Callithrix jacchus: one gene and its partners. The protein of the gene in region 6 purifies or fractionates together with the protein of the main gene of each other region. This does not show direct contact. Links are inferred from orthologs where the notes say so. Each region holds a gene or a part of one and is shown on either strand. Other genes may lie near its edges. The genes, in order: AKT1, MAPK1, SRC, IGF1R, NOLC1, ARRB2 and TCOF1.

Region 1 (4,028 bases), on a different chromosome or scaffold from region 6:
CGCGCGGTGGACTGGTGGGGGCTGGGCGTGGTCATGTACGAGATGATGTGTGGCCGCCTGCCCTTCTACAACCAGGACCACGAGAAGCTCTTTGAGCTCATCCTCATGGAGGAGATCCGCTTCCCACGCACGCTCGGCCCTGAGGCCAAGTCTTTGCTGTCAGGGCTGCTGAAGAAGGACCCCAAGCAGAGGTGAGGGCCACCCACCCCAGCTGCAGGCTCTGCCTCCACCCCTCACCCCCAGTCTGCAGCTGCCCCTGCGCGAGGGGGTCCTGGCACCTTCCAGACCACGCTGATGGCCATAGCTTGATGTCCTTGGCCAGGGTTGATCTGCCAAAGCCCCAGGCCCAGGCAGAGTGGCTAGACAGGCCAGGGCATTTGAGCCTCTGTCCCCAACCCTGCAGCCCCCACACCCACTTGGGACACCCCTGCCCTGCTGTGAGACCTGGGGTGCTTCGCTACCCACAGCTGCTCAGATGCTGCACCACTGGCTCCCCTCCCCAGCCCCAGAATGCCCTGTCCAATGGGCCGTGTGTTACAGCAGGAGGAAGGGGCCTGAGCCTGAGGCCTGGGGGTGGCAGTACCAACACTGTGGCCTTGTTTCCTGCCCACAGGCTGGGTGGGGGCTCCGAGGACGCCAAGGAGATCATGCAGCACCGCTTCTTTGCCGGCATTGCGTGGCAGCACGTGTACGAGAAGAAGGTGCGGCCAGTCCCCGCGTATCCACACGCACATGGCACGCTCGTGGCATTCCCACACACTCATGCCCTCACCTTGGGAGCCTGTGCAGCCCCCCTGCACCAACCCCAGCGCCTGGTGCGCAGAGGGTCTGGCACTGCTGAGTTCGTCAGGAAACTGACCTGGTCCTTCTCACTTCCTCCTGCCCCTGGAGGTGTGTCACACCAAGTACCAGCCTTAGGGGTCGCTTCCCTGAGGCTGCGCAGGGAAGGCTGGCTGGTGGTAGACCAGGAGTGCTGCCCCTTGCTCTCCACCAGTTCCTCCTGTTGTCTGACCTCAGCCCCTTCTGCTGCAAGGAGAGCCCAGCCCTACTCTCTGGCTGTGCAGGGGCAGTTCTGGCACTGTCCAGAACTGTAGACTGGGGGAGTCCACCCTGGAAGGAGGGAGCTCTTTCTGACTGAGTTGCCATCTTGGAGGCTCATCTTTCAGGGACCCCAGGAGCCCTGGCCCTCATCTTGGCTGATGGGTCTGCAGCTGGGTTCAGAAGCCCACACTCTGGGTGCTGGGTGCCATCACCAGGTGTGCTTCTGACCACTTCCCAGCCTGCCCCTCCCTGAATGCCTGTCCTAGGCCACGTGCAGCTGGCTGGGCTGGGCAGCGCTGGGACCCAGCTGGGTACCTGTCCTCCCATCAACACGGTGCCCCGGCCTTGGTCCCAGTTCCTGCCCTGAGGCCTGCCATCCTCCAGCCCTGCCCTGCCCTCCAAGGGAATGGTGGGGCCTGGGCAGTGCTCAGCCTCTGCCCATCCTTGCCCAGAGACTTTGCTAATTGACAGTGGACAGTGCTGGTGCCCAGGCCAGACTCTGAGATGGGGCAGTGCTTGAGGGGGTCCTTGACTGTGGGACCCGAGGGGCTCTGTGGCAGCTCCTTCTTCACTCTTGATCCTGGGTCATCAGGAGTCCTCTCTGCAGCCAGATGCCAGCAGGCTGCCATCCTGTGGTCCCTGAGCCAGGAAGGAGGCAGGGCGGGCCCACCCTCTGCACCTTGTTCCACAGTCTCTCTCCTTCCCAATTTACAAGAAGACCAATAAGAAAAACGAGAAAGAAAAAGGAAATAAAGTCATCACCTACTGGTGGCAGAGAGGCCCTCTGAGAGCTGGGCTGCACTACCTCCTGTCGCCTGTGGGGGCTGCTGTGAGGGCAGCTTGTGACTCCGCTGACCAGGGTGTCTTCGTGCTCCCACTCCTCATGCCCCTCCCTTCCAGAGCTGCCTCTGTGGGGGGCGGGGGCCGGTGGCTTGTCGCTTCTGACATCCAGGCTGCCTGGAGACCCCCTGGTGATCCGGCTGCTGTGAGGGGCTGGGGATGCTGGGAGTGGGTAGCAAAGCTCATGACGGTCCCATCTGCCCACCTCTGCAGCTCAGCCCGCCCTTCAAGCCCCAGGTCACATCGGAGACTGACACCAGGTATTTTGATGAGGAGTTCACAGCCCAGATGATCACCATCACACCACCTGACCAAGGTGAGGGCCACTGTGCCTGCCCCGCCCGCTCCCTTTTCTCTCCACTCAGAGGCCTGCAGTGTTCTGCTTTTTTGGCTTCAGATCTTTTAATACCTAAATTTTTAAAAGATTCCTTTGGAGAGTGCCAGTGTTCAGGGTGGAAGGCAATGCTCCAAGGGCCCAGGTCCCCGGGTCGAGCTTTGGGGCCTCAGTTTCCTGGTGGCATGGCAGCCTGTTGGCTGTGCTTTGAGAGGCTGGCTCCCTACTGGAGCTGTGGGCAGGTGGAGGTTCGGGGAGGTGGGGCCCGAGTCTGAGCTGTCTACACCCACAGACGACAGCATGGAGTGTGTGGACAGCGAGCGCAGGCCCCACTTCCCCCAGTTCTCCTACTCAGCCAGCGGCACGGCCTGAGGCAGCGCGGATGGCACTGGACCAGTTTGGAGGGATGGAGAGGCAGCCTCGTGCCGTGATCTGTGTTGAATGGGTTTTATTTCTTGGTGCATTTGAGAGAAGCCTGCCGTCCTCCCGAGCGCAGATGGAAAGATGTTCTGTGCTGTGGGCGGCACCCTCCCTCGCAGCGGGGTAGGGAAGAAAATTGTCCTGCGGGTTTTAATTTATTTCATCTGATTTGTTCTCTGGATGTGGCCTCAGCCCTCAGAACAATCCAGTTTTGCAGCTATGCGCAATGTGGGGTGGGGGGCCGGGCAGGTCCTTCCGCTGGGTCCCCTCACTCCATCAGCCAGCCGCACGGGCTGTCACCAGCTGTCTATCATCTCTCTGTGGCCCTGGGCCTCACTTCAGCCTGGCGGCACCAGACGCAACCTCACTGTGGCATGCCCGGCACCCTCCTGGGGGAGGCAGGCACACGGCAGCCCCCAGCACCAGGGCTGTGTCTCTGAGGACGTCGGAGGCTGGGCCCCCTGGGAGGGGACCAAGGATGGGAGATGGGCCAGGGTTTGCCCAGTCGGACAGAGGGGCAAGGTTTCAATTTGTTATTCTGTATCATGTTCAAATGCATTTTGGGGGTTTTTAATCTTGGTGACAGAAAAGACCTCCCCCTTCCCCCTTCTGTGTCAGAGTTCTTGGTGACTGTCCCACCAGGAGCCTCCCCTCAGATGACCTCTCCTTGATAGCACTTGACCTTTTCGACGCCGAACCTTTCCGCTGCCGCCCCAGGCCCGCCCTGACTCCCTCTGGGGGGTGACCGTCCCTGGGCCCTCCACACCCCTCCCAGCCAGACGCTGCCGCTGCTGCTGCACCATGGCATTTTTTTACGACATTCAACTTTAGTATTTTTACTATGATAATATGAAACTTGCCCTCCAAATTCTTCAATAAAAGTTGCTTTTCAAGTTTTTGGCTCACTTTGCTGGGTAGAGGAGTGCGTGGCCAGGGAGGGAGTGGGGAGCCCTAGGAGGGAACCAGCATCCTCAGAGCAGCTGGTCTTGCTCCTCTCCTCCTGTGGGCACCACCACCCCAGCAGGTCTGGGGACAGGCTTCGTGGTGGGCTCAGGGAGTCTGCGGGCCTGTGGCGAGATGGGAGGCCCTGGCTGGCCCTGCCCCCTTGGAACCCACCTCTTCTTCCCTTGACCCCACCCAGCTTCACCCCAGCCAGGAAGGAGACCACTGGACTATGGGCATCTGCCCCCCAGCCTCAGCTGTGGTTCCCCTGGGTGGGGCAGTGAATGAGACCCTGACCACCAGGAAGGCTCGGAGCTAGGGCCAAGATCATGGCCTGGGCCACAGTGGAAGAAGGGCCAGGAGGCCTGAGTGGCTTGTTCGAAGTTGGACAGAGCGGGAGGAGGGGCTGCGGGGGGGGAGGGAGGAGGGGCTAGGCTGGGTCCCAGGTTGC
Region 2 (3,500 bases), on a different chromosome or scaffold from region 6:
GCTGAGATCGAGGCATTGCACTTCAGCCTGGGTGACACAGCGAGAATGCATCTGAAAAAAAAAAAGGAAAAAAATTTAAATCATCTGGGCGTGGTTGCATGCACCTATGGTCCCAGTCACTTAAGAGGCTGAGATGGGAGGATTTCTCAAGCCCAGGAGATAGAGGCTGCAATGTACCATGATCACACCATTGCAGTCCAGCCTGGGTGATAGGGTGAGACCCTGTCTTTAAATAAAATAAAATAAAAAACTTTTAGTGAGAAGAGTGGCATTGTTTTTATTTTTGCAAGTCTGTTTAATGTCTGGCTTACAGTTGGATTCTCATCTGGTTTGGCATTCAGTCTGTCAAATATGTTGTTTTGGTTTAAGTTAATAAGGAAAACTTCACACAGGTATGTAGCTGATAAAAGGAGGGAAATTTTAGTAGTTTTTTCAGCTACTTATGGCTGTTCTTTGATACTACCCCCAATTTGAACAAGTGGTAGTTTCTTAAAGGTTAATTGCATTGTGGAATCTGAAATCATATCAGTGAACTCTTTTTTTTTTCTTTTTTTTTTTTTTTTTGAGATGGAGTCTTGCTCTGCCTCCCAGGCTGGAGTGCAGTGGTGCAGTTCTTGGCTCAATGCAGCCTCTGCCTCCTTGGCTCAATGCAGGCGATTCTCCTGCCTCAGCCTCCTAACTAGAACTACAGGTGCCCAGCTAACTTTTGCAGTTTTAGTAGAGATAGGGTTTCACCATGTTGACCAGGCTGGTCTCGAACTCCTGACATCAGGTGATCCACCCACCTTGGCCTCCCAAAGTGCTGGGATTACAGGCGTGAGCCACTGTGCCCGGCTGAGAATATTTTTTTTTTCTTTTTTATTGCATTTTAGGTTTTGGGGTGAGAATATTTTTAATAAGAGATTGGTAAAATATGATGGAGCTAGCACATACTTCCCCCCAACCCAGAAATCCAGGTTTTTAGACTTTTTAAATTTTTTTTCCAGCTCCAATTTATGACAATTCTGAATCTGTCTCTCAAATTGTTTCAAAAAAGGACTGATGTATAATTTGGAAATTCTAATCTAACAAGTTAATCAACTGTTGTTTTTTTGAGATGAGTCTTGCTCTGTCACCCAGGCTGGAATGCAGTGGCATGCTCTTGGCTCACTGCAGTCTCTTGCCTCCCAGGTTCAAGTGATTCTCCTGCTTCAGCCTCCCATGTAGCTGGGATTACAGGCACCCACCACCATGCCTGGCTAATTTTTTTGTAGTTTTAGTAGAAACGAGGTTCTACCATGTTGGCCAGGCTGTTCTCAAACTCCTAGCCTCAAGTGATCTGTCCGCCTTGGGTTCCCAAAGTGCAGGGATTAGATATGAGCCACCACGCCTGGCCCATGTTAATCAACTTTGAAGAGAAAAATAAAATCACATAATCTTAAACTGTTCAGCCTCTCATAAGAAAGCCAAATTATTATTTGTTTTTCCATGCTGCTTACTTGTCTGTCTGAGTTTTAGAGTCAACGGAGAAGTTCAAACTCCCATCAGCAATGCACCTGTCACACAGGAAGATCTCATCCTGTATGACCAGATATCATTCTCAGTCTTTTCTCTTTCTCCTACAGGGCTACACCAAGTCCATTGATATTTGGTCTGTAGGCTGCATTCTGGCAGAAATGCTTTCTAACAGGCCCATCTTTCCAGGGAAGCATTATCTTGACCAGCTGAACCACATTCTGGGTAAGGTTCCCGAGCCCTTCAGTAGCTAGATTTACTCACTTTGCCTGCCTACAGCTTACATCAAAGTCACTTCATTAAATTAAGAAGAGTTCTAATAACTCTTTAGCCTGTGGTAGGTGTGAATTTTTAGCCTTCCCTTATTAAAAATGTTAAGCAAATAACCTCCCAACCAATGTCTTTCCTGGACACTGACCTTAAAAAAAAAAAAAAAAAAAAAGTCTTAAGGACTTCTGTGTAAAAACGTAAGAGAAAGGTAAGCTTTGGGAGTGGTGATAAGACATTAATTACCAGGGTTCATTCTGACCCACAGTTAATGGTGTGTAGTCATTTGCCTTTGTCTTGATAACTAACAGCTAATTATTTTATCTGATAGGTATTCTTGGATCCCCATCACAAGAAGACCTGAATTGTATAATAAATTTAAAAGCTAGAAACTATTTGCTTTCTCTTCCACACAAAAATAAAGTGCCATGGAACAGGCTGTTTCCAAATGCTGACTCGAAAGGTAAATGTTATGTCGTTGATTAGTTTTTTTCTAAGGCTTAGCTTCGCATTTATTTGTTCAGTTGTTAGGTCACTAGCCTGAAAAGTGAGCCTGTAGCTATTGGATAATGCTTTCTTTAGTGCTCACTCTGAATTACTGTCTCTCCCTTTTTTTTTTTTTTTTTTTGGAAACAGTGGCAGTGCAGTAAGGGAGCCTGGTAATGACCGTCTAGTTCTCCACCTTTTGGTTTCTTTGTTAATTTTAACTTGCACTAAAGTCACTTTTTTTTTTTTTTTTTTTTTTTTTTGAGATGGAGTCTTGCTCTGTCACCTAGGCTGGAGTAGAGTGGCCCGATATCAGCTAACTACAATCTCCACCTCCTAGATTCAAGCAGTTCTCCTGTTTCAGCCTCCCATGTAGCCGGGCTTACGGGCACCCACCACCATGCCCGGCTCATTTTTTTGTATTTTTAGTAGAGACGGTTTTCATCATGCTGGCCAGGCTGGTCTTGAACTCCTGACCTCATGATCTGCCCTCCTCAGCCTGTCAAAGTACCAGGATTACAGGTGTGAGCCACCATGCCCAGCCTAAGGTCACACTTTTAGGGAAGTCTAGGACCCTGCAAACAAATTACACCTTTTTATCTTGTCACTTGATAGTTTTTAAAGTCAGGTTTATTGAAGAATAATTTACACAGAATAAAATTCATACTTTTTAGTTGTGTGGGCCTATTGAGTTTTAGTAAACATAAACTGTCATGTAACTACCACCACAATTGAGATACAGAATATTCCCATCATCCTCAGAAGTTGCCTTGTGCCATTTGTAGTCGGTTGTCCCTCTCTAACCCATCTCTGGCAATCACTGATCTGATACCTATCCCTATAGTTTTGCCTTTTCCGGCATGTCGTATTAATGGAATCATAGAGTATGTAACCTTTTTATGTCTAGATTCTCACGTTCAGCATACTGCATTTGAGATTTAGAAAAATTCATTTCATTGCTTGTGTCAGTCTATTCAAGAAATGGTGCTGGAACAATTAGACAACCATATGCAAAATTTGCAAAACTAAAAATGGACCATAAACCTAAATATAAGACCTAAAATTATTAACCTTCAAGAAGAAAACAAGAGAATCTTCATGACCTTAGGTTAGGTGGAGATATTTTAGAGCAACTGTAAAAGAAAATAGTTACATTCCATTTTTATCCTTTTTTTTCAGGTTAGCTTTGTTAAATAATTGTATTATCCTTTATTCCTTATTAATGCATACCTGTTAAATATATTAGGCAGCTA
Region 3 (3,500 bases), about 73 Mb from region 6:
AGTGGGTTTACTGTGTGCTCTCACCATAATGGGGATAGCAACAGCCCCATCACCCAGAAAGTTCCTTGGGCCCTTTGCAGACAGCACCCTCCAACCCCAAACCCAAGCACCCACTGATATACTTTGTCATTATCAATCTGTTTTGTTTATTCAAGAATTTCATACATGAAATATTTTACATCTGGGATGCATCCTTTTTTTTTTAACTTTTTAAATTTTAAATGTTTTAAATTTTTTTGATACAAGGACTCACTCTGTTGCCCAGGCTGGAGTGCAGTGGCGTGATCACAGCTCAGTGCAGCCTTGACCTCCCAGGCTCAATTGATCCTCCCATCTCAGCCTCTCAAGTGGCCGGGACTATAGGTGTACCCTACCACGCCCAGCTAATTTTTTTTTTTGTTTATATCTTTTGTACTGTGTAGCTCAGGCTGGTCTCAAACTCCTGGGCTTAAATGATCTTCCCGCCTTGGTCTCCCAAAGTGCTGGGATTGCAGGCAGGAGCCACCGTGCCCAGCCTGAGATGCGTCCCTGTGGCATCTCCCAGCAGTTAGTTCCCGTTGTCGCTGAGCAGGACGCCATTGTCCGCATTAACACAGTTTACCTGTTCACCTGGAGGTGCGCATCTGGTCGTTTCCCAACCTGCTTGCCTTTTGAGTGACAAGCACTTTATTGAGAGATGAGTTTACATAAAATCTGTTGTGCTGGTTATAGCAAGGCTAGCCACCTGGGAGGACAGGTTTGGGAATCACTGCATCCTGGCAGAGGGACAGGGCAGGAACTGGAGCTGGGTCTTTCTCTGCCCAGGGAGTTTGCTGGACTTTCTCAAGGGGGAAACGGGCAAGTACCTGCGGCTGCCTCAGCTGGTGGACATGGCTGCTCAGGTTAGTCAGCCCCTCCCTTCTCCCCACACCCTTGGTCCTCAAGCACCCAGACCCATCTGGTGCAGCCAGTTCTGGCCTCTTGAGTGCCCCCTCCAGGAAGCCTGCCTTGATTACCCCCACACTCACTGATCTTGCCACACGTATTTACCAGGTCCACTTACAGGCACCCTAAGCGGTGGTTCTGGGCAGCAGAAAGCCCTTACCTGGGCATCAGGGGTCACTGACTAATATCAGGGGTCACCTTTATAGAGATGACAACTGAGGCCCGAGGTCCCCTGTACATCAGTACAACTGATGTACTCAGTTGTCATCTCAATAGTCATTTAGTCACTCAGCAGACATGTGTTTGTGCTGACTTTAGGCAGTGCTTGACAAGCATTTTTCATCAGGAGTGACGAGGATTGGCTATTATTCCCATTGGATGGATGAGAAAACAGGCTCAGAGAGGAGACTTGGGCAGCAGGCAGGGCATGGCACTTGTCCACTTGTCTGTGTCTGGGTCCGCTGGGGCCTCTTTCCATGGTCACCTCACTTTCCTGGCTGCATCTGATCTCGGGCCTCCCCATTGCCCTTTGCTCTCTCCCCTCTGCCCCTGTGCTCCCTCCTCCTGCGGAGCACTGCTCCTGCTTTTGATGCCAACAGCATTTACCGTGAACTGACCTCACTTGCCTGAAGAAGCATGGGATGGTGGGGGAGGGGTGGATGGCTCTCCAGCCCTGGGTGCCCTGTGGTCCTGGGAGGGCATGGGTGGCACCTGAGCTGGGCTCCCATGGTTTTGCCTGCAGATCGCCTCTGGCATGGCATATGTTGAGCGGATGAACTACGTCCATCGGGACCTTCGTGCAGCCAACATCCTGGTGGGAGAGAACTTGGTGTGCAAAGTGGCCGACTTCGGGCTGGCTCGGCTCATCGAAGACAATGAGTACACAGCCCGGCAAGGTGGGCAGGGGCTTCGTGGCACGGGGCGTGCAGCCTGGGGCAGGTCACGTCCTCTCCCAAGCCTCAGTTTCCTTATCTGTCATTCCTCATGGTGCTCACCTGGTGGAGCAGTCACGACAGGTCAGAGCTGCCCTGACCTTTTTCGTTCCTGCAGGTGCCAAATTCCCCATCAAGTGGACGGCTCCGGAAGCTGCCCTCTATGGCCGGTTCACCATCAAGTCGGATGTGTGGTCCTTCGGGATCCTGCTGACGGAGCTCACCACAAAGGGGCGGGTGCCCTACCCTGGTAAGAAGGTCCTCCCGGCCCGTCTCTAGTCCCTGAGCCCTTGCCCTGGTGGCCTTGGGTAAGACCTGACTCCTGCTGGGCCTGTTTCCCCATCCATACAACAAAGAAGTTGAGCACCTGATCTTAGGCTCTCCTGATGGTCCATGCTCTCAGCTTCGGGGACGGGACCTACCCATGGTTGCACCCAACCTGGCCTAGGCAGGAAGCCCTCACCATCCTCCCCATCAGCTTCCCGCACCCCACTTTCCTTACTGGAGCCAGGCTTCCCATGCCTCACTCTGCCCACAGGGATGGTGAACCGAGAGGTGCTGGACCAGGTGGAGCGGGGCTACCGGATGCCCTGCCCGCCCGAGTGTCCTGAGTCCCTGCACGACCTCATGTGCCAGTGCTGGCGGAAAGAGCCTGAGGAGCGGCCCACTTTCGAGTACCTGCAGGCCTTTCTGGAGGACTACTTCACGTCCACTGAGCCCCAGTACCAGCCTGGAGAGAACCTCTAGGCACGGGCGGGCCCAGACTGGCTTCTCGGCTTGGATCCTGGGCTGGGTGGCCCCTGTCTTGGGGCTCGCCCTGCTCTGCCTGCCTGCTGTTGGTCCTCTCTCTGTGGGGCTGAATTGCCAGGCTCGAGGCCCCTCCCTCTTTGGCGGCATGGAAGGGGCTTCCGGACCTAGGGTGGCCTGAGAGGGCGGCAGGCGTGTGAGACCAGCACAGTGACTGTCCAGCGCCCACTCTAGCCACACGCCCCTCCTTGCACTCCCTCCTGGAGCTCTGTGGGTCTCTGGAGGAGGAACCGGGAGAAGGGCTGGGGCCGGGCCTGAGGATGGCCTTTTCCAGCCTCAGCCTACTCCACTCACTGAACTCCTTGCCCACTTCCGTGCCACCCCCAATCTGTCTCGAGAGCTGGCCAAAGAGCCTTTCCAAAGAGGAGCGATGGGCCCCTGGCCCCGCCTGCTCACCATCCTGCCCCTTGCCATCCATTCTGGAAACACCTGTAGGCAGAGGCAGCCGAGATGGATCCTCTGCCGCTGCTCCCAGGCTGGGCAGTAGGATGAGTACCCCTCAAACCCTGCCTCCTTAGACCTGAGGCACCTTTGGAGATCATCACTTCCTTGCCCCCATTTCACTGATGGGGAGACAGTCGAGAGAGGGGATGTGACGTGTCCAAGGCCACAGAGCAGTTCAGAGTGGAGGCGGCTTGGAACCGGTGCTCCCTCTGTCTTCCTCAGGAACCAACAGTTCGTGGGAGGCATCACGAAAAGACTGGGACAACCCAGGGGACAAGGGATCTGAGGATGCGTTCGAGATGGCAGAATCGCACTGCCGCTGCCTGCTCGGCCGGGCTGTTGGGGAACAGCATGGAGGCAGATGTGGGTCTGAGCTGGGAGTCAGGGTGAAAG
Region 4 (3,500 bases), on a different chromosome or scaffold from region 6:
AACCATAAGATCTGTGACCAGATGGCCTGAGTGTTCTGATGACACAGCCAGGATTGCCCAGCCAAGCGTGGTGGTGACACTGTTTGCCTCTAGGTAGAATTGAAGATCCACTCTGAGAGCCAGAGGTTGGGGGCGAGAGTTTGTGTGTCCATTCTGTCACTTGCAGAGTAGAGAAAGCAAGATAATGAGGAAGGACATCCCCGTGTTATTCACAAATTCGTATCCAAGGGGGCCGAAGAGCTTCCTTTATTCCACGGTTAAGATGCTGCAGTTACCCTTACTCAAGTTGCAGAAAAGACGAAAGAGGTAAAAGCACCTAAAAGCCACATTTCTCTCTTCCTTGCAGACCTGACAGGAAGCGGAGAGATGTCATCCAGGTAGCCAACAGCAGCACGTCCAGCCGAAGCAGGAACACCACGGCCGTTGACACCTACAACATCACAGACCTGGACGAGCTCGAGACGGAGTACCCCTTCTTTGAGAGCAGAGTGGATAACAGGGAGAGAACTGTCATTTCTAACCTTCGGCCTTTCACACTGTACCGCATCGATATCCACAGCTGCAACCACGAGGCTGAGAGGCTGGGCTGCAGCGCCTCCAACTTTGTCTTTGCAAGGACTATGCCTGCAGGTATGGTATGACCCAGCTGGCCCCATTGCCACGTCCCTCACAACCCAGTGAAAATGGTTTTTATGGTCACAGGGTCTGACACCCAGGGCCAAGACCCTTAGTGTCAGGCCTGGCTGCTAAATGGTGTGTGATCATTGGCAGGTGGCATGGTAGACCACCTGCCCAGGGAACAGAGCCCTCGCTCTCCTAGTGACACCACTCCCAGCTAGTTTCTCCATAGAACATGCTGGGAGCAGGGAGCTCTCTGCAGGGCCCACCCTCCGCCTGCTACTTGGTTCACAGCATGCACTCCCACTGCCCTTTGCCCCTCTTGTACACAAATAAATTGAGCTGCCCCCTCCTGAGCTCTCACATATTCAGAGATGTCCCCAGTTAGTGGCCTTGGTCCAGAGTAACCACTGCCCCTCAAGGTTAACTCCTGGAGTAGGCTCCAGTCTTGCTTACTTAGTCTTTGGCTTTCCCTTGTCCGTAGACATTGCCTGTCGCTCGGGCATTGAAGGTGGTTGCCTTCAAAGACAGAACAAGCACTGCCTTGTTCTTGTTTCTTTAGGAGGCCTCAGGCAGTAGAAAGAGCATGGAGGTGATGGGTATCTGGGGCATGGGTTCCTCCTGGCACAGTTCTGGCACTGAAGTGCATGGCAGCATGCCTTGAGGCAATTGTCAGGCTTCCTGCCTCAGTTTCCTTAGCCCTCCTAGGAGAGACATAGCCAGCTGACCCCTCCAGTACCTTTTCCAGCTGTAACTTTCCGTGACCTTTGCTTATCACCTCATTGTTTATTGGTTCAAGAAGCAAAATCAAGAGAGGAACCACTGCAAGGTCAACCAGCAGCTAGAGGAATTGATGCCGGCAGGGAGGCTTGCCCTGCTCTTGGCAGCAGCCTCCCAGCAGCTTCCTCCCAGGCCAGGCTTGAGCCATCCTTTGTGCCTGCGTAAAAACTGCAGTTTCCATGTGTGGCCGCGGGCCACCGAGGGTCCCTGTCATAGCCGGCAGGGCCCCGTGCCCTGCTTCTGCTTATTCAGCATCTCTTCAGGGCTGCTTGGGTTTGGTAGCTTCACAAAGCTTTCTTTTTTTCAAGTGGTAGGCACAGAATAGAAGAAAGTTACTTAGGTTGTCAAGATTTTCCTGCTCTGCTTGGCAACAGGTTTTTTTTGTTGAGGGACTGGGGAGAAAGGAGAATCCTGTGGCATCTTGAGACGTGCAAGTCATGGGGTTGGTGTGATTCTGAACCCTCCTCTATGCTGTGTGTGTGCAGCCTGCTCAGGGGCAGGGTACGTGACTGCTCTCCATAGTCCTGCCCGCGTGGATGGGGGGTTATTCTCAGGTCAGCCCAGTGTTGGCCCCCCTCCCTGGGAACCCAAATCCAACTCTGTCACTTGTTTAAATTGTACAGACGGAGCAGATGATATTCCTGGGCCAGTGACCTGGGAGCCAAGGCCTGAAAACTCCATCTTTTTAAAGTGGCCGGAACCTGAGAATCCCAATGGATTGATCCTAATGTATGAAATAAAGTACGGAGCACAAGTTGAGGTAGGACTGGGGCGGTGGCCTGTGCCTGCGTGCATTTCCATCCGTTGACAGCATACGCTACCTTACTGCACAGGTTACTTCCTGGTTAGCGTAGGATTTAATAAAATATGCACCAAGTTGCTGAGGATTCAGGTCTTTCTACCCACTCCATATACTCCATAAGGAGTACTCCACAGTGTGCAAAGAACTAGGCTGCTCTTTGCCCTCAAGAAACGATTTCATTGTATAAGATAACCTTGTGGCATAGGCCAGATCAGCTCTTAATAACTTTTAATCCTTCTGGAGTTCTTGGTTACAAAAACGTTTGGTTAAAGCTTTTGGGTGTGCTTAAAGCTCCTTGAAGATGACCTTTTAAGACTTGATTTCTTCCTCTTTGCTGACTGTCGGGATCATTGTTAGGTGGGACGTCAGATCAGGCAGCTGGAGTCCCCAGTGCAGTGAGTTCAGTTGGCAGGCCCCAGATTTCTCCTGCGTTTATGGAAAATTGACATGTATGTTTTATTTCCCCAGGATCAGCGGGAATGTGTGTCCAGACAGGACTACAGGAAGTACGGAGGGGCCAAGCTAAACCGGCTAAACCCGGGGAACTACACAGCCCGGATTCAGGCCACGTCTCTCTCTGGGAATGGGTCGTGGACAGAGCCTGTGTTCTTCTATGTCCAGGCCAAAAGTAAGGCTTGTGGAGGGAGAAGAAACGTGGGAAAACTGAAAGCGAGCTGGTCCGGGATGAGGACAGCCCGAGTGTCTGTGGCTCTCGCACTTTCTGTTACAGTCGAGTTGCCGGCTTTCAGAAGGGTCATGCTTAGGTGCCGACAAACACAGGCACCATGTGTGACAGCTTGGGCAGGGCACATGCTGAGCTTTGGGTCCCTACCTCATGTGGCAGGCAGGGAGAGGATCTGAGCCTCTCTTCTGAAATGGCACAGTCACTGGAGAGCCAGAGGAGACCGTTGGTTTCAACCTGGCTTATATGCAAAGACCTTTGTTTTATTAAACGAAAGACATTTTACAAAACTTTGAATTGACCATTCCACCTCCTGCTTGGTCAGTAAAGCTAGATAGGGCTCAGATTCAGGGCTTGAAATCCTATGGGGTTAAAGGAACTTCAGAGGCCATCTGGTTCAGCCTGCTGCAGGGCAGGAATATCCATGAGAGAATCCCAGACCCTGCATTGCTCTTTTACAGCCCCCATATGCATTGGAGATACATGATGCTCACCTTTGGTGCAGACTGAGGAATGGGAGTTTATGCTCAAGTCATTAATAAGACAGAATTCTTAGGCTGTTCCATTTCCTAGAAACAGAGCCTCGTTTTGGGGTCTGTGATCTATGTAACAGCAACC
Region 5 (4,247 bases), on a different chromosome or scaffold from region 6:
GTTCAAGACCAGCCTGGCCAACATGATGAAACCCCGTCTCTACTAAAAATACAAAAAATTAGCTGGGCGTGGTGGCATGCGCCTGTCATTCCAGCTACTAGGGAGGCTAAGGCAGGATAATCGCTGAACCCAGGAGGCAGAGGTTGCAGTGGGTGGAGATCGCACCACAGCACTCCAGCCTGGGTGACAGAGCAAGATTCCATCTCAGAAAAAAAAAAAACTGCATCCAGGCCAGGCGCAGTAGTTCACACCTATAATCCTAACACTTTGGCAGACGGATCACTTAAGGACAGGAGTGCCTGGGCGAGACAGGAAGACCCCCAACTCTCTCTCTCTCTTTTTTTTTTTTTCAGATGGAGTTTGACTCTTGTCACCCAGGATAGAGTGCAATGAGGCTCAATGCAACCTCCACCTCCCAGGTTCAAGTGATTCTCCTGCCACAGCCTCCCGTGTAGCTGGGATAACAGGTGCCTGCCACTACGCCTGGCTAATTTTTTGTATTTTCAATAGGGACAGCATTTCACCATGTTGGCCAGGCTGGTCTCAAACTCCTGACCTCAGGTGATCCACCCACCTCAGCCTCCCACAGTGCTGGGATTACAGGTGTGAGTTACTGCACCCAGCTGAGACCCCCCATCTCTTAAAAAATATATATATTTTAAAATTTTAATTAGTTGGGTGTGGTAGCACACACCTGTAGTCCCAGCTACTTGGGGGGCTTAGATGGGAGGACTGCTTGAGCTGAGGAGTTTGAGGCTGCACTGAGCTGTGATCACATCACTGCACTCCAGCCTGGGCAACAGAGAGAGACCCTGTCTCAAGAACAATGACAGCAAAAAAAAAAAAAGAATTTCATTCAATTATTAATTACACTGATACAGAACATTAACTGATGCAAAAAACTCCAAGACATTCCAGCTACTCAGGAGGCTGAGGCACAGAATCGCTTGAACCTGGGAGACGAAGGTTGCAGTGAGCCAAGATTGCGCCACTGCACTCCCATTTGGGCAACAGAGTGAGACTCTGTGGTACAAAAGAGTTCAGGATCAGTCAGTATACATGTGAACTTATCTTAGGACAAATTACCTAATCTCCCTGAGATTATTTTCTTCTCTATAAAATGGAGATAATACTACACATCTCATTTAAGTTATTGAGAGGATAAGAGAAGGCATGCTGGCCGGGTATGGTGGTTCATGCCTGTAATCCCAGCAGTTGGGAGGCTGAGGCAGGTGGATTTCTTGAAGTCAGGAGTTCAAGACCAGCCTGGCCAACATGGCAAAACCCCGTCTCTACTAAAAATACAAAAAAGATTAGCCACACATGGTGGCAAGCACCTGTAGTTCCAGCTACTTGGGAAGCTGAGGCAGGAGAATGTCTTGCACCCAGGAGGCAGAGGCTGCAGTGAGCAACCTGAGTGACAGAGCCAGACTCCGTCTCAAAAAGAAAAAATGCATGTAAAGGGCTAAGTATCTGAACCTTTGTAAACTCTTCACAAAAGATTAGTTTTTCTCACATAAAACCATTCAGAATCCTAATTCTTAAATGTCCAATTCCATCCAGTCCACTGTGAAAGCACTCTTTGCAGTCACTTAACAGTCAACTCTAAACAGTTCCAATACGAAAGCAGTTACATCACATGACAGCCTGTCCCAGCTTAAGAAAGTTCTTTCTGAGGCTGATCTGATTCTTTGCTTTTGCAGCCTGATCTGCTAAAAGTGCAAGCCATCCTTCTTAGTCCTGCTATCATCCTTGCAAAGGACCCCCTCTCTTTTCTCTCAAGGTGTCTTCCATGCAGGGATATCCGTTGATGGAGATTAAATATCTTTCACATTCCTGGTTGGCGCATCCTAAATTGCCGTAACTATGGTACAACTTTCACTTTTAGAAGATTCCTCGGCACAAGCACTGAGATTGCTACTCTTACACATAATCTTACTGAAACTCACCAAAATCTTATGAAGTGGATGATGACATCCCTGTAGAAAGACTCAGAAAGGTTAAGTAAGCTGCCCGGGTCACATATCTAAAAAGTAACAGAGCCTGGTCCCAAACTTAGGTTGGATTCTATTAGCCAAAGCTCCAAGCCCACTACCATGCCTGCTTGGTAGGGCTGTATATGACGCTCAATTCTCATCAGTGTAACTCAAAACAAAACTCTGCTCCTACTTTCATTCATTTTCTTCTTTACTAACGAAAATCCCAATCTTTATTCTAAAGCAATTTCACTTGCTTTTGAATCCCAGTAAATGCGATTGAGGGTAAGGTCAAATCGCGCTTTACCTCAGCCAACGAAAAGCCCCCCAGAAGAACCAGACGCCTAAGAACCAACGTCCTCAGTGGGACAAGGCGCTAGCTCCCAGCTGCACTATGCTAGCCATGTGACTTCGGGCCACGAGGCTCCCACGTTGCCGCTGTTGTATGGCTCACAAGAAACAAGCAACAAGACTCTGCGCTATCTAGTAAGACCTGGTGGAAGACGAGCGACCGAGGCCCCCAGGCTTTCTCTGGTCACTGCTGAGCGGTCGGCGCAAAGGCCTTGCAGACACTGGACTGGCGGACCCCACAGTCTTCCCCACCTGGAAACCCAAGCACGTCAGGGCCTAAAGCCTTGTGGTCATGACCCAGCCCGCTTCCCGTCCCAAGCCCGGGACTCACAGCTCCCGTCGCTTTGGCGAACTTATTGGCCACCTCCGAGAGTTGGTTATCGCGCAGGAAGCCGAGGACGAGGGGATACAGGTCGCTGGGAACCACGCGGCGCAAGCCGGCGTCCGCCATGCTCCGGGCAAAACGCGTCACTACCGTTGTCGACGCAGCACGACTCAGGAACCCAACAGGGGCAGTGGGAGGGCCTGATTACGTCATTGCGCCGCGCGGTCGCATAGCGGAAAGGGTGGGGCTCCACAGGGCAGTCCCACCTCCGCTTCAGAGGTAGGGTAGACGGGAAATCTAAAAGCTCTTTCCGGTCCCACGCGTATCGCCATCTTGGTCAAGGGCGGAGCCCACCAGCCGCCGGTTTGTAGAGGCGGGGCTCTGACGTCAGAGGTCACGCCCTCGGCGTGGCGGGAAAACTTGGGACTTCCCGCGCTGTCTTTCTGGGGGAGGTACCTTTTCTCAGAGCAGCGGTTTCCCGCGCCCCTGCCAGGATTCGGATTCCAGAGTAATGAGTGGACAAGCGGGCTCTAACAGTCCTTACCCTCTCCAGACTTGGTCACAAGATCTCCCAACCGCCCCAACTGGCGCATTAGCGCTGCCGATGGATTCTCGCCCTTCATCTTCACTGCCTCCAACACTCAGGGAGGCCCTTTCCTCTCTGATACCATCCCAGCCTCCAGACTCGTCTCTACGCAGAAGAGCATCCTTCAAGTTATCCGTCGTGGGGGTGGAAGGTACTGATTTCCCAAGCCGCCCCTCCCACTCCCTTTATATTCCGCCTGTCAGCTCCACGAAGGGGAAAGATGTCATACACCAAACCTGAATCACACACCTCTTCAAGCTGAAGAGACTTGAAAATAACCCTTCTTCCTCCGATATCAGAGTTCAAACTCTCCCTTTGTCATGAGTAACTCCAATATCAGTGCTCAGACCTACCAAGTGAATTCCAAGTTCTGCAATACTTCAGATCATATTAGCAGTTAGCAATCCTTTCAATCCTACCCACTACCCCTTGGCTACCTCCCACTAATGCAGTTCAGGAAGGATAAGGATCCACTTCCTCATGGAACACTCCCCTCTCCTATATAAAACTGGCCAGGCACAGTGGTTCACACGTTATTCCAACACTTTGGAAGGCCGAGGTGGGAGAATCCCTTAAGCCTAGGAGTTAGAGGCCAGCGTGGACAACGTAGTTAAGACACACACACACACACACACACACACCACCCTGTATCTCTACAAAAAAATTTTAAATTAGCCAGGTGTAGTGGCATGCACCTGTGGTCTCAGCAAGTTGGAAGGCTGGGGCAGGAGCATCTACTGAACCAGGGAGATGGAAGCTGCAATGAGTTATGATCCTGCCACTGCAATCCAGCCGGGACCGCAGAGTGAGATACTCTCAAAAATCAAAACGCTGGGCACAGTGGTTCACACCTGTAATCTCAGCACTTCGGGAGGCCAAGGTGGGTGGATCAACTATGGTCATGAGTTTGAGTACAGTCCTGGCCAAGAGTGAAACCTTGCACCTACTAAAAATACAAAAAAAAATTAGCCAGGTATGGTGGCAGGTGCCTGTAATCCCAGCTACTTGG
Region 6 (3,500 bases):
AGGTTGCAGTGAGCCAGGAGTACGCCACTGCATTCCAGCCTGGGCAATAGAGTGAGACTCAGTCTCAAAACACAAAATATAGCCAGGCGTGGTGGCTCACTCCTGTAATCCCAACTACATGGGAGGCTGAAGTAGGAGAATCTCTTGAACCCCAAGGGGGTGGAGGTTGCAGTGAGCAGAGATTGCATCGCTGCACTCCAGCCTGGGCGACAGAGTGAGACTCTGTCTCAAAAGAAAAGATTATTAAAAGAGATAACACGTTTGAAACACTTGGAACAGTGCTGGGCATGGAGTACCCACCCTGTAATGTTAGCCAGCATTATCATCATCATCATCATCATGTGGCTGGCAGTGTGCTGCAGATGCCTAAATGAATAAGGCCTCTAAGGCTCACAGTCTGAGGAGGGAGGCAGCTAACTGCCCTTGTGTCCTGCCACACCACAAGTAAAACATAAACAAACTGAGCCAGGAACCCAAAACAAGGAGTGACCAGGGTCTGGGCTGGGTCAGCTTCCTAAAGGCTGGACCTTAAAAGACAAAGAGGCTTTTAAGCTGCTAAGGTCGGAGATGGGGACAGTTGGAGGTGAATGGATAGAGTCGAACTGGGCTAGGGCCTATGGTAGAAACCATTTGAGGGTCAAAGTCCAGGGTCATTGCTCTCTTATATGCTCCAGCTGTTGGAGCTGTAGACCCGATGGAAAGATGGTTAGGTCTTACCCAGATGCTGCGGCAACCTGCCCATTCGGGTGCCTGGGGAAGAGCCTGGGTGGTTCCTAGGGCAATCAGTGGCCATTACTAGGGAGGGAAGGGGACTAAGGAGGGTGGACAAGAGAAGGGGCATTTTTCCTTGCTGTCATGTTAGAAATAGGAAGGACTTTACAGGAAGAAGTGGAAAGGGGCAGAGCTGGGCAAAGCCCTGCAGCCTCAGGCAGGAGTCCTGGGTGAGCTCTGCTTCCCAGGCCTGGGAGGGACAGGGTCCTGGTGTGGGGTGCCTGCTGAGTCTGAGGGAAGCAGTGGGGTTTCCCTTTCTGTTTTGTTAGGGTCTTCAAGAAGTCAAGTCCTAACTGCAAGGTGAGTCTCCATGGCACTTATCCCTTTCACCCTCCCTGGGCCCCAACAGAGTCCAGCCTTCCCCTAAAGGATTGCCAGCCTGCCCCAAGATGATCCTCAACCCCTAGCTCCCCACTTCCTGTGACAGCTAAGAGCTGACTTCCTTCCCTCCTGAAGCCCCTTGCCACAGAGGCTGCTCAACCTGAGCCAGCCACAGGGCTGGGTGGGGCAGACCCGGGTCCCCAAGCAAGACCACAGAGGAGGAGGCCAGAAGCAAGCCATGTGCCTACAGCCCTCCTAGGGGCCAACCCAAGGTGCGCCACCCTGGGAAGAGTTAACAGCCCCCACCCAGGCTGTGGCCTGCTTATCCTAGAGCCCCTTGAGGGGACATAGTGAGGGTGGCAGCTGCTCTCTAGCTGGCTGGTTGGGCTGAGTTCTCCCTGAGGATCCAAACACACACACACACACACACACACACACACACACACACACGTACCTGGCTGGTTGGGCTGAGTCCTCCCTGAGGATCCAAAGACACACACTCATGACACACACTCACAGACCACACATGCATGCAACACACACACACACACACCCCTAGCTGGCAGAGTCCTCCCTGAGGATGCAAATACACACATACATCTGGCTGGTTGGGCTAAGGACACACACACACACCTGCCCACCTGGCTGGTGGGCAGTGGTGTGCAGAGATTAGGGAGCAGTTAAAAAGCCTAAAGGTCTGCTAGCCTGAGAAATGCCGCCACCCTCCTTTTTAACACTACTGGGAAAAAACCTGGAGAAACTCCCTATAGCCCAGCTTGGGGATCCTGGGGCAAGGCAGTCAGTATTGAGGGCTCTGATGCCCTGGCACCATCCTCCCCAATCTTCCTGTGACCCCTTGACATCCTCAGCTGACCGTGTACTTGGGCAAGCGGGACTTCGTAGATCACCTGGACAAAGTGGACCCTGTAGGTAAGTTTCCCCAGAAAGGGGCAACTCATTCCCCAAGAGGGGAAGAAGTTCCCAGGCCCAGGACATGGGGGAGCTGCCCTTTCAGGAAGTGAGCTGGTGTGTCCCCCTCCTAGATGGCGTGGTGCTTGTGGACCCTGACTACCTGAAGGACCGCAAAGGTACTGGCTCCAAGTCCAGGGACCCAGGGGAAGTAGAGGGTAGGGAAGTGAAATGGGCTGGCACTGGAAGGGTGCCCAGAGAGAGGGAGGCTGGAGGTAGAAGCCAGAAGTAGGATTTGAGCAAGTCTCATGCTGCAGAGGGAGGGGCCTTGGCTGCTAGGTACCAGGGGACTGGGGAAGGGAGGTCCTGACCACTCATCTTGACTTCCCTTGCCAGTGTTTGTGACCCTCACTTGCGCCTTCCGCTATGGCCGCGAAGACTTGGATGTCCTGGGCTTGTCCTTCCGCAAAGACCTGTTCATCGCCACCTACCAGGCCTTCCCCCCAGTGCCCAACCCGCCCCGGCCCCCCACCCGCCTGCAGGACCGGCTGCTGAGGAAGCTGGGCCAGCATGCCCACCCCTTCTTCTTCACAGTGAGGACGCCCTCTGTCCTCTGAGGGCAAGGGGTCTGGGACTGTGTCTGGGGTGGGGGTAAGGTACCCATTATGGGCAGATCTGGAAGAAACAGTGAGGCAGGAACCCTGGATCCACCCCCCTTCAGGGTCCCAGTGCATTCAGGAAGCCCTAGATTCTCTGCCTCGTCTCTAGGGCCCCTTCCTTCTTCCTTTCTCCTCCCCAGGAGTCCTTTCTCCAGCCTCCTGAGATTTGGAGGAAGATCTGGGGACTTTCTGGAAGAACTGAAGTCTTCCCTTTCCTCTGCCACAGATACCCCAGAATCTGCCATGCTCCGTCACACTGCAGCCAGGACCAGAGGATACGGGGAAGGTATGGGAGGAATGGCTCTGAGGGCTCCTAGGGCAGGATGGGGCCAATAGGAGCCTGGAGGCACCGCTGAGCCAGAGGGTAAACTGTCAGGATGCCAGGGTGGGGCCAAGGTCAGCCAGTGTCCCCCATGGAAGTGGGGTGTGTATGATGTGGTGACTGTGCATGCGTGACACTGCCGCCTGCTCTCTGGACCTGCGTGGATCTGGGGATGGGGCTCCCCTTGCACGACCATGATTTAGTCCCCCAGGTCGTCAGACCACAATGACAGAAGAGTCCCTGCCCAAGTGGAGGGAAGGGAGAGGAAGGAAGGGGAGCGATGCTGGTGGGAGCCCTGGGTGAGATGTGGCCTTTTCTCCCCCTCCCGAGGCCTGCGGCGTAGACTTTGAGATTCGAGCCTTCTGTGCTAAATCACTAGAAGAGAAAAGCCACAAAAGGTGAGGGAAACAACCTCCTCTGTGGCATAGAGGGGGGTTTCCTCCCCGTTTCCAGGAGCCCAGGCCCCGTGGGAGGGAGGAGTAGGGGTTTGGGTGTGTGAGGACTGACCCCCTCCTGCC
Region 7 (3,500 bases), on a different chromosome or scaffold from region 6:
CCTGGGCTCAAGTGATCCTCCCACCTCAGCCTTCTGAGTAGCTGGGACCACCAGTGCATGCCACCATTCCCAGCTAATTTTTTTTTAACATGAGACAGTCTCGTTATGTTGCCCAGACTGGTCTTGAACTCCTGGGCTCAAGCGATCTTCCTGCCTCAGCCTCCCAAAGTGCTAGGATTACAGGTGTAAGCCACCATGCCCAGCCGAAAAGACTCTCTTCTAAACCACCTATCTGTGCAAGTCATGAGTTTGGGGAGAGCTGGGCCCAAGGAGGACCCTTACTGTGCTGGGGGTTAATTGTGGCTTTCTCTTTACCTCTCTGCAGAAGTGTTTCCTGGCTCAGCCCGTAACCCTTCTGGACATCTATACACACTGGCAACAGTAAGTGGTGGGGCTGACAGGGTGGAGTAGGGACACCCCAAGCAAATCAGTGTGGAATAAGCTGGGATACCTGTCTGATCTAAGATCTGTCCCTATAGCTCACTGTGGACACCATTGTTGCCTCCAGAAAGCCGGTCACAGCACATGAATGGGGATATCTGGTAGTGGGAGGGGACATTGAGAGCTGTGATCTCTTAAGAACAAGAGCTTCTAACCAGCTTGTTTATTCAGTTGATCAGCATTTATTGATTACCTCCTAAAAGCCAAGTCCTGTTCTTACTTAGTATGCATGTATTGTCACAAGTGAGACAGACATGGTTCCTTCTTTCCTGCAGCTGACATTGTAGTCAAGGAGGCATGAGTCAAAGAATGAAACAAATGAATGTAAAATTACGGTAGTAGTAAGGATTACAAGAGAGAAGAACCTGTTGCCACAGCCACATAAATGGGTAAGCTTCCAGACACTTCATTTGGAGGTCCAGGGGAAGCTTCCCTGAGATGATCTTTGACTTGAGAGCTGCAGGAATTGGGAGAGTGAGCTATGCAGTAGGTATAGAGCAGCAATAGGTACTATGCAGTAGGTACCTGCCAGCGGAAATTGCTAATGCTCAGTCCTGTGGCTGGTGGACAGTACAGGTGAGGCTAGATTATCGCGTGGATAGCCATGCGAGGCCTGGTTATCCATGGTGAGGAATTTTGTCTTTACCCAAGAGCAGCTGGGGCCATGGCAGGGTGAGAAAGTGAGCTGACTGCTCTGCACCATGTTGAGACTAGTCGGTGGACACCGTCATCCAGGCAAGAGCTGATGGGGCTTGAGACGGGGGTAACAGGGTAGACAGTGGATTCTAGGAGTCACAGGGATGAAACCAGGGCCCATGGATGGATGGGAGAGGAAGTATCTGATTGACTCCATGTCTGGCTTATGTATCCATGCATAGAGCTTGAAGGGAAACCAGTTTGCAGGGAAAGATTTCAATGACATGTTGAGTGTGAGATGCCTTTTAAACATGTAAAACTTAAGTACTCTTCAAGGAAGGGGGACTCATCCAAGGATACATCAACAGAGGAATGGCTTGAAAATGGAGAGAGTAATTGTGTTCTCATCAGGCACTGGCCTGACCACAGCTGAATAAGGGAGTGAAGGACGTGAAGATATATCCCCTGAGGAATGGTGCAGAGTATAGAATTGCCTTAGATGACAAGGAGGCAGGTGAGGGATGTGAGGCACCACTGCACATCTTTGAGGACCAAGAATAGTGCATTCTCTGAAGCCCTGGAGACAGAAGTGGGCCCCAAATGGACCTGCTTTAGGAAGACAGGTTTCAGCTTCTGAATATACGGACTTGCTCATCAGAGCTGTCTAAAAATGAAGTGGGCTACAGTGGAGGTGGTGAGCTCCCTGTCATTAGAGGTTTGTAAACAAAGGAATGGTGTGGAAGGGATTGCAGCCTCTAGTAGAGAGCTAAGATGGTTGAAAACCCTGCCAGCCCTCAGTTCTTGGCTGTCCTCTACTGCTGAGGAGGGCTTAGAGCACAGGGCCTCTCTGACTTGCCCAGATGTGTGAGTGTTACTTGTAGTACTTCCCTTCCCCAAAAAACTGCTTTAGTGAGCTGTTCTTTACACCCTTCCCCGCCACCGGCCCCTTCGCTGGGTGAGGGGTGCTGAGTGGGACAAGGACCTTACACCCACCACAGTCAGCCTAGCCTAGCAACTCCTGGCAGAGTTCAAATCCAGCAACTAGCTGTATTGCCTTGAGTGGGTTTCTTGGCCTCTGTGAGTCTGTGTCTTCATCTGTAAAATGGAAATAATGATAGCAATGATCTCATTGCATTGTTAGGGTTAGACACAGTGGTCTATATAAAGTACTAAAAACTACTGATTGGAGGCTTTCCCCCCTGCCTCAGTATTTATTGAGCACCTACTACAACCTAGGCAATATTATTGATGTAGCTGGGAACAAACCAGAGTAAAATTCCATGCTCAACATTTTTATTGGGGGAAAAGAAGCAGAATAAATTGATAACATGTTAAAATGAAACCTGTTTTTAACAGGTGAATCCTGACAAGTGGCTTTCCTGGGAACAAGGAACCCAAGTAGCATATCCCAAGCTATGACAGAGCAGTGTCCATCACAGCTGGGAAACCTGGGGCCTAGACAGTGATTCCCTGGGATGGGGGTCAATGGGGATGTTACTTGCAAGTCCAGGGGCTCAGCTCTCTAGGTGCTTATCCTACCCATGCCCCAGACTTTGTTTTCCCTGAGCAAGTCACTCAGTTGTTTAGTTTTTGAGACATTTGTTAGACACTGAGGATGTTGTAGTGAGCTGCCAGCAGCCCCGCTCCTTGGGCCTTTCTGTGTAGGGGAAGAGTCTAGGAAGTAAGTAAAATAATAGGAGGTAGAGAAAAGCTCTGAAGAAAACGAAACAGGACGACAGGGCAGAGCATGCCTTGGGGGCGGCGGGCAATCATCGAGGACCTCTCTGGGGAGGCTGCATTAAAGTTGAGACATGAAGGACAAGGATGTGGGCAGTCTTCCCAGAAGGCACAGCACACACAGCACGTTCTGCAGGAGGAAGCACCTGGGTGGTTCTGTGAGGTGCCTGCATGGGTCAGTTCCTATTACAGAGACTGATAGCTGCTGCAACTGTTGTATAACATTATCTGGCATTCCTGATTATTTTCAAGACTAATCAAGAATTGTGAAAGCACTTTATGAATTGAGGGAAAATGCGGAATACAGAATTGTGTCTATACGGTGTTTTCACCACTGTTTACATTCCATGCACATTGCCATTAAGAGCCAGAAGGATGCGGGAAGGTCTGTGTAGTCAAACCTTGTGGAGTTGTTCTGTCGCCCAGTTGGTATAGACAGTCACCCTTGTCCTGCAGAACCTCAGAGCTTGGCCGGAAGCGGAAGGCAGAGGAAGATGCGGCTCTACAAGCTAAGAAGACCCGAGTGTCGGACCCCATTAGCACCTCAGAGAGCTCGGAAGAGGAAGAGGAGGCAGAAGCTGAAACCACCAAAGCCAGTAAGAGCCTTGCAGCTTTGGGAACAGGCTATGGAATATTGATTGTTCTAGGGTAGAGTCTACCTCCAGCTTCTTCTCTTATCACTAGAA

What was found.
Region 1: the proteins of ARRB2 (region 6) and AKT1 purify together in Homo sapiens (affinity purification with western blotting; 4 studies listed by BioGRID and IntAct, with this or other methods). This does not show direct contact. The link is inferred for Callithrix jacchus from reciprocal best matches to the Homo sapiens genes ARRB2 and AKT1.
Region 2: the proteins of ARRB2 (region 6) and MAPK1 purify together in Homo sapiens (affinity purification with western blotting; 3 studies listed by BioGRID and IntAct, with this or other methods). This does not show direct contact. The link is inferred for Callithrix jacchus from reciprocal best matches to the Homo sapiens genes ARRB2 and MAPK1.
Region 3: the proteins of ARRB2 (region 6) and SRC purify together in Homo sapiens (affinity purification with western blotting; 4 studies listed by BioGRID and IntAct, with this or other methods). This does not show direct contact. The link is inferred for Callithrix jacchus from reciprocal best matches to the Homo sapiens genes ARRB2 and SRC.
Region 4: the proteins of ARRB2 (region 6) and IGF1R purify together in Homo sapiens (affinity purification with western blotting; 4 studies listed by BioGRID). This does not show direct contact. The link is inferred for Callithrix jacchus from reciprocal best matches to the Homo sapiens genes ARRB2 and IGF1R.
Region 5: the proteins of ARRB2 (region 6) and NOLC1 purify together in Homo sapiens (affinity purification with mass spectrometry; 5 studies listed by BioGRID and IntAct, counting the BioPlex papers as one, with this or other methods). This does not show direct contact. The link is inferred for Callithrix jacchus from reciprocal best matches to the Homo sapiens genes ARRB2 and NOLC1.
Region 7: the proteins of ARRB2 (region 6) and TCOF1 purify together in Homo sapiens (affinity purification with western blotting; 4 studies listed by BioGRID and IntAct, with this or other methods). This does not show direct contact. The link is inferred for Callithrix jacchus from reciprocal best matches to the Homo sapiens genes ARRB2 and TCOF1.

What each region holds. Positions count from the first base shown.
Region 1 is NC_133509.1:139,635,017-139,639,044, reverse strand, and holds the end of AKT1 (RAC-alpha serine/threonine-protein kinase), read left to right. Parts: coding exon 1-191; intron 192-613; coding exon 614-701; intron 702-2,094; coding exon 2,095-2,197; intron 2,198-2,507; coding exon 2,508-2,587; 3' UTR 2,588-3,528; downstream 3,529-4,028. UniProt on the Homo sapiens protein: AKT1 is one of 3 closely related serine/threonine-protein kinases (AKT1, AKT2 and AKT3) called the AKT kinase, and which regulate many processes including metabolism, proliferation, cell survival, growth and angiogenesis.
Region 2 is NC_133502.1:193,755,549-193,759,048, reverse strand, and holds part of MAPK1 (mitogen-activated protein kinase 1), read left to right. Parts: intron 1-1,604; coding exon 1,605-1,719; intron 1,720-2,092; coding exon 2,093-2,224; intron 2,225-3,500. UniProt on the Homo sapiens protein: Serine/threonine kinase which acts as an essential component of the MAP kinase signal transduction pathway. MAPK1/ERK2 and MAPK3/ERK1 are the 2 MAPKs which play an important role in the MAPK/ERK cascade.
Region 3 is NC_133506.1:32,839,217-32,842,716, forward strand, and holds part of SRC (proto-oncogene tyrosine-protein kinase Src), read left to right. Parts: intron 1-804; coding exon 805-881; intron 882-1,666; coding exon 1,667-1,820; intron 1,821-1,974; coding exon 1,975-2,106; intron 2,107-2,394; coding exon 2,395-2,603; 3' UTR 2,604-3,500. UniProt on the Homo sapiens protein: Non-receptor protein tyrosine kinase which is activated following engagement of many different classes of cellular receptors including immune response receptors, integrins and other adhesion receptors, receptor protein tyrosine kinases, G protein-coupled receptors as well as cytokine receptors.
Region 4 is NC_133507.1:11,008,560-11,012,059, forward strand, and holds part of IGF1R (insulin-like growth factor 1 receptor), read left to right. Parts: intron 1-346; coding exon 347-630; intron 631-2,021; coding exon 2,022-2,158; intron 2,159-2,668; coding exon 2,669-2,828; intron 2,829-3,500. UniProt on the Homo sapiens protein: Receptor tyrosine kinase which mediates actions of insulin-like growth factor 1 (IGF1). Binds IGF1 with high affinity and IGF2 and insulin (INS) with a lower affinity. The activated IGF1R is involved in cell growth and survival control.
Region 5 is NC_133513.1:95,104,652-95,108,898, reverse strand, and holds the start of NOLC1 (nucleolar and coiled-body phosphoprotein 1), read right to left. Parts: upstream 2,801-4,247; 5' UTR 2,779-2,800; coding exon 2,659-2,778; intron 1-2,658. UniProt on the Homo sapiens protein: Nucleolar protein that acts as a regulator of RNA polymerase I by connecting RNA polymerase I with enzymes responsible for ribosomal processing and modification.
Region 6 is NC_133506.1:106,272,378-106,275,877, forward strand, and holds part of ARRB2 (beta-arrestin-2), read left to right. Parts: intron 1-1,040; coding exon 1,041-1,071; intron 1,072-1,961; coding exon 1,962-2,022; intron 2,023-2,135; coding exon 2,136-2,180; intron 2,181-2,397; coding exon 2,398-2,594; intron 2,595-2,886; coding exon 2,887-2,946; intron 2,947-3,312; coding exon 3,313-3,380; intron 3,381-3,500. UniProt on the Homo sapiens protein: Functions in regulating agonist-mediated G-protein coupled receptor (GPCR) signaling by mediating both receptor desensitization and resensitization processes.
Region 7 is NC_133503.1:49,076,971-49,080,470, forward strand, and holds part of TCOF1 (treacle protein), read left to right. Parts: intron 1-325; coding exon 326-381; intron 382-3,270; coding exon 3,271-3,410; intron 3,411-3,500.